3 linked regions of the Sus scrofa genome follow. The protein of the gene in region 2 interacts with the protein of the main gene of each other region in a pairwise test. Links are inferred from orthologs where the notes say so. Each region holds a gene or a part of one and is shown on either strand. Other genes may lie near its edges.

Region 1 (3,745 bases), on a different chromosome or scaffold from region 2:
AAGTCTTTGTGGTTTAGTACCTCGAATTGAGGGCCTGACAAGTCAGGCCCTATACTCTGAGACTGGCTCCGTGCTGGAGGACACACCCTGTCCTCAAGAGCCCAGATGATAAGACCACTACATGCAGCCCTGCCAAGCAAAAGGTGACAGAGTGCTTTGGGATTCAGAGGGAAGCTACTGGAGTCTGGCAGGGAGGGTTTCTGACACCTTGATGCTCCAAGGCTCTAGGGGCCACCTGGGTGGCCTTTGTCGTTCCTTCAGTGGCACTGAATTCCCATAAGGATCCTGCCCTCGTCCCTGGCTCCTCCCTCTTTCAGCTCATCTGATCTCACTGACCTGTCTGGTGGGGGGGGGCGCGACCCTTCCTGACCTCACACCTGAGAAGAGACGTCCAGAATCTGGAAGTAGAATTGGGTCCCTTCAGTTTCCCTTCTTCCTTTCCAGACCTCTTTCTCTGGGGATTTTGAACAGAAGTGAGAAGTCCTTACAGAAAGTGTAGAAACTTTCTGTAAGGGTCCATGGGTCCATGGACGGGGACCTAAGCTCGGGGCAGACGCTGGTGAAACAGAAAGGAAAGGCGCACCCCCTACATCAACTATGAATTCAACAGATGCTTACTGATGCCCACATTCACCGCACCCACTCTGAGCCAGACGGGTTCTAGGAGCCGCCTGAGCCCGGTCCCTCATGTGAGGTCTCGGGATGCTGGGTGAAGACAGACCACACTACTCAGAAGCCTTGGAGGCGGCCTTGAGCTTCGGACAAACCCTTCGCCTCCCTGAGCCTGTGGGTCTCCTGTGAACCAGACAGCTGTTCCTGGCAAGGCTGAGGCCCGCTCCGCAATTACGGAGGCAAGGCATGCAGAGCCTGCCGGGGAGTAACAGAAACACCATGAGGACCTTCTCCATAATGCGTACGGACCTCGGATCCGCAACAGAAAACCGGACACGTGGCCTTTGCAACGTCTGCGCACAAGCCTCAGGAGAGCTTCAGAGGACCACGAGGCCCCGCCTCAAAGGGGGCGTGGCCGGACAGGGAGCGCGCGCCCGGGCCAGTCCCGCGAGACCTCACCCATCGGGCGCGGCGCGCGTTGCCAGGGCGACGGCGCCCGGCGCGCAGGCGCAGTGCCGGCGCGCTCTGCCGCCCGCCGCCGCCGTCGCCGCCGCCGCGCCTTCCCCTTTAAGCCCCAGCCGGTCGCGTCGCCGCTTCATGAATGGAGCCCACGTGACCAAACATCATGTGACGTCTGAGGAGCGGCGGCGGGCGGCGGCGGCGGCGGCGGCGGCCGGCGGCGGCGGCGGCGGCGGCGGATCCCGAGCCCCGAGCCTGGTCCGGCCCGGCCTTCCAAGCGCGCTCGGACCGGCCCGCGCAGGCGGCGAGCCCCTACCCCGGGCCCGGAGCCCCCGCGCGGCCCACTCCCGCGCGGCCTCGGAGTGCCCGCCCCGCCCCGCCCCAGCCTCGGCCCGCCGGGCCCGCAGTGTGGTGGGTGAGTGCGGCGGCGGCCGGGCCGGGGCAGGGCGCGGGGCAGCTGGGGGCTCCGGGCCGAGGGCGGGCTTCCGCGGGGCCTCGGCTCCTTCGGGCGTCCGGGGCGGCGCGGGCCGGACGCTCCGAGCTTCGGCTCTGCCCCGCGCCCTGCTGGCGGCCCGTGCCTCGATTTCCCCACTAGTCAGAAGCGGCTTCCTGCCCTTGCGCCTGGGGTGCTCGGGTGGGCGCGGGGGTGCCCACAGGGGCGGGGCGGGGCTTGCGCGGGCTGGCTTGCTGGGCCGGGGCGTCCTGGAGGGAGGGGCGGCCGGGGTGGCGGGAGGAAAGGGTGGGGTCGATCGGGGAGCCCAGGGCTCCGCGGAAGAGCCTGGCCGTCCCAGCCTGAGCTGCTGATTCATCAGGTGTCTGTGTTAACGCCTCTCGGACGCGGGGGTCCTTGGAGGCCGGGGGGAAGGGGGCGGCACGTGGGGGGTGGCTAGGAAGACCCTCCCCGCGCCGACTTCGCTCTGTCACACTCGTGCCAGAGCCCAGAGGGAGACTTGCTGAGTCATCAGCATGAGGTCACTCGATGCTTGTCCTGATGCCTGGGGGGATTTGAGCGAGGGGCTCGAGAGGCTGGAAGCGAGAGGTGAGAGCTAAACCAGGGAGTGGGAAGGGGCTAGGCCCCAGGCTGGGGTGCCTGCTTAAGTTCGGGCTGATGTGCGTGTTGAAGGTTTGGGGGGTGAGTAAATGGAGGGACCGCTATTCTTATTATTCTGGGGTAGAGGGTGAAGACCCTGGTCCGTCCATCCCCTCCCCGGCAGGCTTTTCTCAGGCTGCTGGTCCCTGACCCGCGTCTGGGACAGTTCCCCAAACTGGGAAATAGTTCTCTGAGTGAGAAGAGGGAGGAGCTTAGGGGGGCTGTGCTTGCGGGCTGGGAAGCCGGCTTTCCTTATGACTGGTCTGGTTGGCCAGGCTGGGCAGCCTCTGGGCGGGGAAGATGGGGAGACAGTGGGAGAAAGAGGGGTGCCTGTACCCGGTTTCTGGGTAACAGTGGACAGGGCAGGGGGCATGTAGGTGCAGCTCTACCAGGAAATTGCCAATGAGAGGAAGCAGCAGGACTTAGACTTCAGGGGAGTTGGTGTCTGGTGAGCAGGCCCTGCCTCTCTTCACAGCCCGCCGTGGGGTCTGGCTCGAGGCTGTGGGTGGCGGTAGCTTGGAGGGCACCCACCTTCAGGGCACTGGACTGGGGTGGACGGCATGGGCTGAAGAATCTCAGTCACCCCGGATTGTTCTGGTTGGGCTCAGGGTTGTGCAGCTTAACAAAGAAGGTGGTCCTGATGGGGTGGTGGTGGGGACTCCTGGGGAGGGAACTCCAGCCTGAGGGTCGTGTGGCCTGAGCCACCTTCCTAAGTGAATGGGTGGTTCCTGGTCTCCAGGGGCGGGGGTGGGAGTGGGGGTCTTTCCTCTAGACCAGAGCTGATCCTTTTGCCCAGGGGTTCAAGGCTAGGTAAGGCTGACCTTGTGCTTTGTCCTCAGGCATTACTTCCGCTCCCCTTCACCCCAGCCCTGGGCATACAGATGCCAGCTGATCTTTTTTTTTTTTTTTTTTTTCCTGGCCACAGCATGCAGTGGCTTGAAGTGGGATCTCAATTCCCAGAAAAGGGATGGAACCCAGGCCGCAGCAGTAAAAGTGCCGAGTGCTAAGCACCAGACCACCAGGGAACTCCCACCAGCTGATCTTTTGGCTGGAGTTTTATGAAAATGCAGATTCCTAGAGTGGTATTTCTTTAAATCTTCTCAGCTACTTGCGTTTGGTGGGAATGAAGTTTGAGACACTTTTCAGAGGGCTTCTGGGGAAATGGGTCCGAAGGGCAGGGTGAGTGTAGCGGGCTGGGGGGGGTGCCAGGATGACCGGGGCCACGCCTGCCGGGGAGGTTTGGCCACTGCGGTTTGTAGGACAGGAGAAGCAGGAGCGAGCTGGCCTCCTGCCCAGTGTCCATGCCCTGGAGTTTGAGCCCAGGGGAGGGGGAGGGGGCCCTCTCTCCTTCCTGGCCGGCTCTCAGCTTGAGTGGCTAGGCCTGGGTACCTTGGTGGGTATGCACTCTGGGGACCACCCCTGCCTCCTCCCCGAAGTGGGCTCAGCCTCTGGGGGAGCAGAGGCAGGAGGAGGGCTGCAGGGAGGCAGCGTCTCCTTGAAACGGCCTCGGGGATCCCCTTCCTCCGGCTTCTAGAGGTGCCCTGAGACCTCGGTCCCAACCCAGGCCCACAGGGTGTCTCGTCC
Region 2 (3,645 bases):
GGTAAGAATAAAGTGGCTGCTCAAAATTGCAGAAAAAGAAAACTGGAAAACATAGTGGAACTGGAGCAAGATTTAGATCATTTAAAAGATGAAAAAGAAAAATTGCTCAAAGAAAAAGGAGAAAACGACAAAAGTCTCCATCTACTGAAAAAACAACTCAGCACCTTGTACCTTGAAGTCTTCAGTATGTTACGTGATGAAGATGGAAAGCCTTACTCTCCAAGTGAGTACTCCCTGCAGCAAACAAGAGATGGCAATGTATTCCTTGTTCCCAAAAGTAAGAAGCCAGATGTGAAGAAAAACTAGATTTGGGCATATCTGACCTTTTCTGAGCTAGTGGATTTTTTTTTTTTAATACTAAAAGCTCCTACTGTGATGTGAAATGCAGAAATATACTTTATAAGTAATTCTATGCAAAATTATAGTCAAAACTAGTGTAGAAAATATAAAACTTTGAAAAGCATTAAAATAAGTTATCAGTATGCTGAATCAGTAGTTTCACTTTAATTACAAACTTAATTTCTTAGAACACCATTTGGGCTAGTTTCTGTATACGTGTAAATACTACAAAATCTTATTTATACTATTCTTATCTCATTTGTTACGTTCAGATTTATACGATACAACATCTGGCTAAAAGCAAATTGTTGCAAAACTAACCACTATGTACTTTTTTATAAATACCATATGAACAAAAATGGCATTTTTTTATATTAAATTGTTTAGCTCTGGCAAAAAACAATTTAGTTGAAAAGTTGGTACTAATAAAGAATATGACTCTTAAAGTGTTTCTCTGAAATTCATTTGCATTTATTCATAGTATCTTCTGTGACAATATGAAAAGCATGCTAAAATGGCAGAGAGTATCAAAAAGATTTCCTCTTTAGCAGTAGGTACAAGTGAAGCAAGAAAAAATAAAAAATGACATACATATAGCATGCACCCAGGTGGCAACATTTGGAAAGTGTGGGAAACCCATTCTATTAGCAAAGATGGAACACAGGAAAGTCTAAAGGTTCTAGGAGTCTATTTGAGAAAGAATAACTATATGGTTGACCGTAGAGGGAGAAAAAAAGGTGGGTCAGTAGAATAGGACATGGCAAAGATCCTTGCTAAGCCTTTAAGAACTTTGGCTTTTACCTAGTGGGGAGCTTCTGGAGGTGTTAGGAGTAACATCTGCGTTAAAAGCTTCCTCTGCCTTGGTGTTGGCAGTAGTCTAAAGGGTAATGGTAGGAGCTGGAGACCAATGGGGAGACTGAAATATTAACATGGGACGTGGTGTCCTGGTTTAGAGTGATAGCAGTAGTGAGAAAGCATTGGATTCTGCATTGTTTTAAAGACAGAACTAAAAGGATTTTCCAACAGATGGATTCAGGGTGAAGGCAGACTCAAGGCTATGGTTCGAAGGTCTAGGTGGGCAAATTAGTTCACTTTGGGACATAGCCAGTGATAAACATGTAAATACCAGGTCCATTTAGAATAAGCACCATGTGCTAACTATTCACTTGAAAGTCCTATCAACCGGTTAGGACCAAAACACTGCACATACCCTAGAGCCAGATCGCCTAGGCTGCTGCAGTTTTCCTAGAACCACCTCCAGTGAGGCAAAGCACTCAGGCTGCTTCCTTATCTGTAAAGCAGGGATAAGTGCTGTTAAGCACTCTATAAATTGGGCATTTTCTTTAGTCCTGTATCAGCATGCCCTTTGGTTGATGGTGAAAGAAAGAATTTGACTCAGCTGGCTGGAAAGCTCAGGCTTGAAGGCAACTTCATGGACTAATGGAACAAGGCATTCAAACGCAGATTATGCTGTGGCCTGTCTGGATCAAAACATCCTATAGTGGTGGTGACGACATCCCTGGAAGAAACTAAACTTTTCCTATCTCAGAAAACTCTCTTGAATAAAGTGCCCTTAAACAAAATTAGGGGTGGAGATTGGGAGCAAAGGCAACAATCTGTTACCACCCCCTACCTGGAATTAACTGGCACCTACTACACAGGGGGAGAACACTGGGCAGACCAGATCTTCTAGCACAACAGCAAATTCCTTCACTGTTGGTGCATTTAGATTTCAAAATGAGTTCCAAGACAAAACGCCATAGAGCCTTTCAATATCTAAATATCACTTTCAAATACTAAACATAGAGAATTAGGCAGAACTAAATTTTAAATATAACAAATCCTAACAACTTCCCTATGACTAAAGTAGATTTGTTTTTGCTTTTGAGGGCCACACCTAAGGCATGTGAAAGTTCCCAAGCTAGATGTTAAATCACAGCTACAGCCACCCGGGATCCGATCCCTGTCTCCAACCTACAGCACAGTTCATGGCAACACCAGGGATTGGACGTGTTTCCTTATGGACACTAGTTGGATTTGTTTCCATCACACAAGGGGAACTCTCAATTTAATTTCTCCATCTGAATGTGCAATACACTTATACCTGCCTCCTCAGATTAAATTTGGCTATGCAATTGTTAAGCCTTATTGAACTCAAGTTTCTAGTTTTAAAATGGGCACCTGTGCCTGCTGGATTGAGATATATCAAGCATTCTATTAGAAATCTTAATATAGCATGCTAGTGCATGTTACATTAAAAATGTTCTTGCTAGGACTTATTCTATAGCCTATGGAGAGGCTGCTCAACTGCATCCCTGCTATGGCTCAGTGGTAACGAACCCGACTAACATCCATGAGGATGTGGGTTTGATCCCTGGCCTCACTCAGTGGGCTAAGGATCCGGCATTGCCGTGACCTGTGGGGAAGGTCGGAAGATGTACCTTGGATCCCACATTGCTATGGCTGTGGTGTAGGCTGGCAGCTGCAGCTCCAATTGGGCCCCTAGCCTGGGAATATGCTGCAGGTATGGCCCTAAAAGGTGGTGGTGGTGGGGATAAAAATGTACCTGATATTACTTCCCATACCCATTCTTGTTTTTAAATCTTATAACTGATACAAAGTAATTCTAATTCTTATTTTAAAAATATTTACCAGGCCAGTTTCCACTTTTTGAAGAAAACTTAAAAGACTGTAAGAACCTTAATGCTACATGGAGGGAAAAAACCCTCACATTGGCATTAACTTCACTGTCACTCATTAAAGTTGAGAAATACTATCTCCTTAAGCACCATGGACCAGGCACCAGTATAAGCTCTTTAAACCTGTTATTTGAGTTTCCTTGTGGCACAGTAGGTTAAGGATCCTACAAGTCACCGCAGCGACCAAGGTCAATGTTGTGGCATGCGTTTGATCCCTGGCCTGCGAACTTTCATGTCACGGGTACAGCCAAGAAAAAAACAAAACCCATCATCATATTTAACCTTCAGACTTACCGAGGTCAAGCTATTAGCTCTTTTGCAAAAACAAACTATGTGAATACAAGAATTCTGAATCTTGACAATAGCTTGATCAGCAAAAATTCCTTCTTTCACTAACATTTAATGAAATTAAACATCTCCTTCAATGTTTACAAGCAACAAAATACAACGGTATTTGCAGTACCTCTGATTTTGTCATTAGTTAAAAAATCCTAATTTTCTAAGTTCCCTTCCCTGCTGCGGTGCAGATTTGATCCCTGGCCCAGGAACTTCCATGTGCCATGGGTGTGACAAAACAAAACAGATACTGTGAAGTATCTCAAAACAC
Region 3 (3,716 bases), on a different chromosome or scaffold from region 2:
CTCCACAGCTGTGGGTGAAGGTGACTGATAACCAGCCAAAGGGGAGGGGACAAGGGTGGCAGAGGGGAGTGGGTATGATGAATTCTCCCAGAACCCCTCCTCCTAGAATACTTTTTAGATGTCCTCTGTGTCACCCTCCACGACATCCCCCCAAAATAGCCCTTGGGGGTGGGGCAGCTATTGTCTTCAGGCCACTGTGTCTTCCCCAAATACCTTCCCCTAATCCCTCCTCAGATCAGGTTCCAAAGGACTTGTCATAAGACAAAAGAGGGCAGCTGTGGTGAGGGGGTGGGGCCTGTGGCTTTGGGGTTGGTGGGGCCATACCTTCCCAAGCCCTGTCTTCATCCGCGGTTTAGGAATCTTTGGGAGTTGAGGGCCCCCAGCTCCTCCTCCCCCAGACCCAGGGGTCCTGTCCCAGCCCCTTCTCCCTCAGACCCAGGGGTCCTGCCCCAGCCCCTTCTCCCTCAGACCCAGGGGTCCTGCCCCAGCCCCTTCTCCCTCAGACCCAGGGGTCCAGCCCCCAGCTCCTCCTCCCTCAGACCCGGGGGTCCAGCCCCAGGCCCCCGGCCTCAGACCCAGGATCCAGCCCCCAGCTCCTCCTCCCTTGGACCCAGGGGTCCAGGTCCCAGCCCCTCCTCCCTCAGACCCTGGAGTCCTGCCCCAGCCCCTCCTCCTCCAGACCCAGGGGTCCAGCCCCAGCCCCCCCCCCCCCCGTCAGACCCAGGATCCAGCCCCCAGCCCCTCGTCCCTCAGACCCGGGCGTCGGGACCCCAGGTCGGGGATCCCGAGTCCCTCGTTTGGACCCCCGTTCTCTGCCTCTCTAGGTCACGCCAGGATGTCTGACGCCGAAGAGCAGGAATATGAGGAGTGAGTGATGCTGGCGGGAGGGCTGGGGGCTCGGAGCGGGGGAGACCCCCTCCGCCTCCGAGGCGCCTAACTCTCCCCCTCCCTCTTTTCTCCCCGCCCGGGTCCTCAGGGAGCAGCCTGAAGGTGAGTGCACTTCGGCCCACCCCGCCCGACCGGCCCGACGCCCATCCTCCTGGGAGGGAAAAGCCCATCGTGCCCGGCGGCCGCTGAGGCTGACGGGTCCCCCCCCCCGCCCCGCCCAGCTGAGACTCGAGCCCGAACCTGGGTCTCTGCCCCCTCACCCACTGGGTCCCCTCTCTGAAAGCCCTTCCACCCCGGGTCCCCCTGGGCCCCTAACCCCTCTTCTCTCTCCCCGACCCCTTCCAGAAGAGGAGGCTGCTGAGGAGGAGGAAGGTGAGGCCCCGGACTCCGCAGGTCTGGAGCTGGACGCAGGTCTGGGGGGGTGGGGGACAGGCGGGTGGGTGGGGGGCCCGCTGGTCCAGGGGTGCAGGCCGGGCGGGGCGCGGGGCTTTCGGGGTTCTCGGCCTCAGTTCCTTTAACAGCCTCTCCCCTCTCTCCCCTCTCTCCCCCCCTGCATCCGGGCCTGGCCGCTCCCCTCCCCTGGCTCCCCAAACCCTCGCTTCTCCTCCTGCCCCCTCCCCAGCCCCCGAGGAGCCAGAGCCGGTGGCAGAGCGAGGTAACCGCGGCTGCTTCGCTTCCTGAGACCAATTGCGGGGTGTCCTCTGGGCCCTGACCTCCACGAGAACTCCCTCCCCGCCCCCATAACCCGCCCCGGACCCGGTCCTTTAAGCCCCGGAGAGCCCGCGCGCCCTCTGGTGGCCACGAAGGGAAATAGCCTCGCAGCGGCTTTAACCCGTTCCCTTCCTTCTTAAAGGGACCGACACCCAAGCCTTCTTCCCCAGACTGGAGGAATACTTATAGAAGGGTTGGATGTTTGCGGAGAGGCACCCCTCCTCCCCTCTCATCTTCGCCTGTTATTTTTCTCCCCCATATACATTCAAAGGTTGGGGCCTGGGTTGCAGAAGGGGGTAGCAGTGGGGGTCTGGATTCCTGTGTCCCCAAGGGGGAGGTGGCTGGGGACACAACTCCAGGGTCCCCGAGTGAACAGAGGGCTTGGGGAGGAGGGCAGGAGCTCTGGGTCTGCAGAAGGAGGGTGGGGGGTTTGGAAGCCTGGTTTCCCAGCGAAGCGAGTGGAGGGGGGGAATCCCCACACCGGTTCTGAATGTATATCTGATGCGTGTGACCCCTCCCTCCCTTTACGGCCACCCCGATTTCCCTTCTCCTCTTTTACCCCCGCCATACCCCTCCCCCAGGGCTGCAGGACAAGGGAACTGGGCCTGGGGACCAAGTCTTGGGGGGGCGAGGAGGGCCCACCTTTGGGTGTGTCGCGTCCTCCCACGCCCACAAACTCTTGCTAATTGTGTCTTTGTATCCCCCCCCCCAACAGAAGAGGAGCGCCCCAAGCCAAGGTGAGATCCTAGGGCTGGGGGTGGGGTCTCTTAGATCTAGCCCCTGCCTTCAGAGACAGGGTGCAAAAAAAGACGGGAGGAGGAGTTCCCGTCGTGGCGCAGTGGTTAATGAATCCGACTAGGAACCATGAGGTGGCAGGTTCCATCCCTGGCCTTGCTCCGTGGGTTAAGGATCCGGCATTGCCGTGAGCTGTGGTGTAGGTCGCAGACACGGCTCGGACCCCGCGTTGCTGTGGCTGTGGTGTAGGCCGGTGGCTACAGCTCCGATTGGACCCCTAGCCTGGGAACCTCCATAGGCCGCAGGAGCAGCCCTAGAAAAGGCAAAAGACAAAAAAGAAAAAAAAAAAAAAAAAAAAAAAGACAGAGGAGAGGGGGAGGGACACCTACGAAAGGACAGTGATTCTGTCCTTCAGCAAACATTTCTGGTGAACTTCCCATGGTATTTGATGAGTCAGAGTGTGGCTGCCCTGCTGGTGAAGCAGACCCAGATACAAAGATGGTAGCACAGAAGAGGCCCTAGCTATGCCCGGTGGCAGTCATGGAGGGCTTCCTGGGGGAGGTGCTGCCCTGAGTCCTGGGAGTTTGCTAATTGAAGGAGGTGGGAGAGATTGTAGTCGAGGAAGCAATGCAGAAGGTGCAAGGTCCAGCGGCCAGATCTCGGCCAGTCTTTGAGGATCCAAGCTCTGCAGACAGGTGGAGGCCAGGCTGTGAGAGCTCCTTGGGAGAGGGAGAGGAGACCTGGAGGTGGGGACCTTGGGGCCAGAGATTGGTGTTGCAATCTGAGCATGAGATGCAGTGGACAGTGGAGTTTCACCACGGCTTGAGGGATGAGGAGGCAGAGTCAGATGGGAGTGAGGACACAGCTGGGCTGCAGCATCAGGAAAGCTCGTTGGAGGCAGGAAGGCCTCAGGTGCGGAGAATGTCAGGCGAAGGCCATTGCAAGCTGAGCACACAGCATGTGCAAAGGCCCGGGGGCGTGAAGCCATGTGGCATGGCCAGAGAACTGTAGAATTTGGTGAGTTTTCAGGGAAGAAGGCCTAAGCCTGGGCAGGGGGCAGGGGGTGGAAAGGGGGCCACAGACGGAGAGATTTCCAGGTTGGGGAGCTCAGCTGGGGCATGGAGCCATCCGTTACCTGGAGTCTGGAGATTGGGAGAGAGTCTGAGCTGGAGACCAGTGTTGGTGAATCCTCAGTAATTGAGGAGAATCCAAGTCACAGATGAATGATATTAATCACTAGCATTTCCTACAAATGAATCAGAGGGTAAAACTCTCACCAGGGGACAAGGAGACAGCGATGAGGGCAGGCAGAGCCTTAGGAAGCCTATCAGAAGAAAGCGTGTTCTTAGAAACCAAAGAAAGAGAAAATTTCAAGAAGTGGG

What was found.
Region 1: the proteins of NFE2L2 (region 2) and MAFG interact in binary tests that used the Homo sapiens proteins (3 or more experiments, as listed by UniProt). The link is inferred for Sus scrofa from reciprocal best matches to the Homo sapiens genes NFE2L2 and MAFG.
Region 3: the proteins of NFE2L2 (region 2) and TNNT1 interact in binary tests that used the Homo sapiens proteins (3 or more experiments, as listed by UniProt). The two-hybrid records come from large-scale screens. The link is inferred for Sus scrofa from reciprocal best matches to the Homo sapiens genes NFE2L2 and TNNT1.

What each region holds. Positions count from the first base shown.
Region 1 is NC_010454.4:1,067,663-1,071,407, forward strand, and holds the start of MAFG (transcription factor MafG), read left to right. Parts: upstream 1-1,411; 5' UTR 1,412-1,486; intron 1,487-1,830; exon of another isoform or gene 1,831-1,883; intron 1,884-1,933; exon of another isoform or gene 1,934-3,745. UniProt on the Homo sapiens protein: Since they lack a putative transactivation domain, the small Mafs behave as transcriptional repressors when they dimerize among themselves.
Region 2 is NC_010457.5:82,970,792-82,974,436, reverse strand, and holds part of NFE2L2 (nuclear factor erythroid 2-related factor 2), read left to right. Parts: coding exon 1-306; 3' UTR 307-3,645.
Region 3 is NC_010448.4:59,360,725-59,364,440, reverse strand, and holds the start of TNNT1 (troponin T, slow skeletal muscle), read left to right. Parts: upstream 1-830; 5' UTR 831-835; coding exon 836-867; intron 868-976; coding exon 977-990; intron 991-1,233; coding exon 1,234-1,260; coding exon of another isoform or gene 1,261-1,305; exon of another isoform or gene 1,306-1,510; coding exon 1,511-1,543; exon of another isoform or gene 1,544-2,100; coding exon of another isoform or gene 2,101-2,314; coding exon 2,315-2,336; intron 2,337-3,716. UniProt on the Homo sapiens protein: Troponin T is the tropomyosin-binding subunit of troponin, the thin filament regulatory complex which confers calcium-sensitivity to striated muscle actomyosin ATPase activity.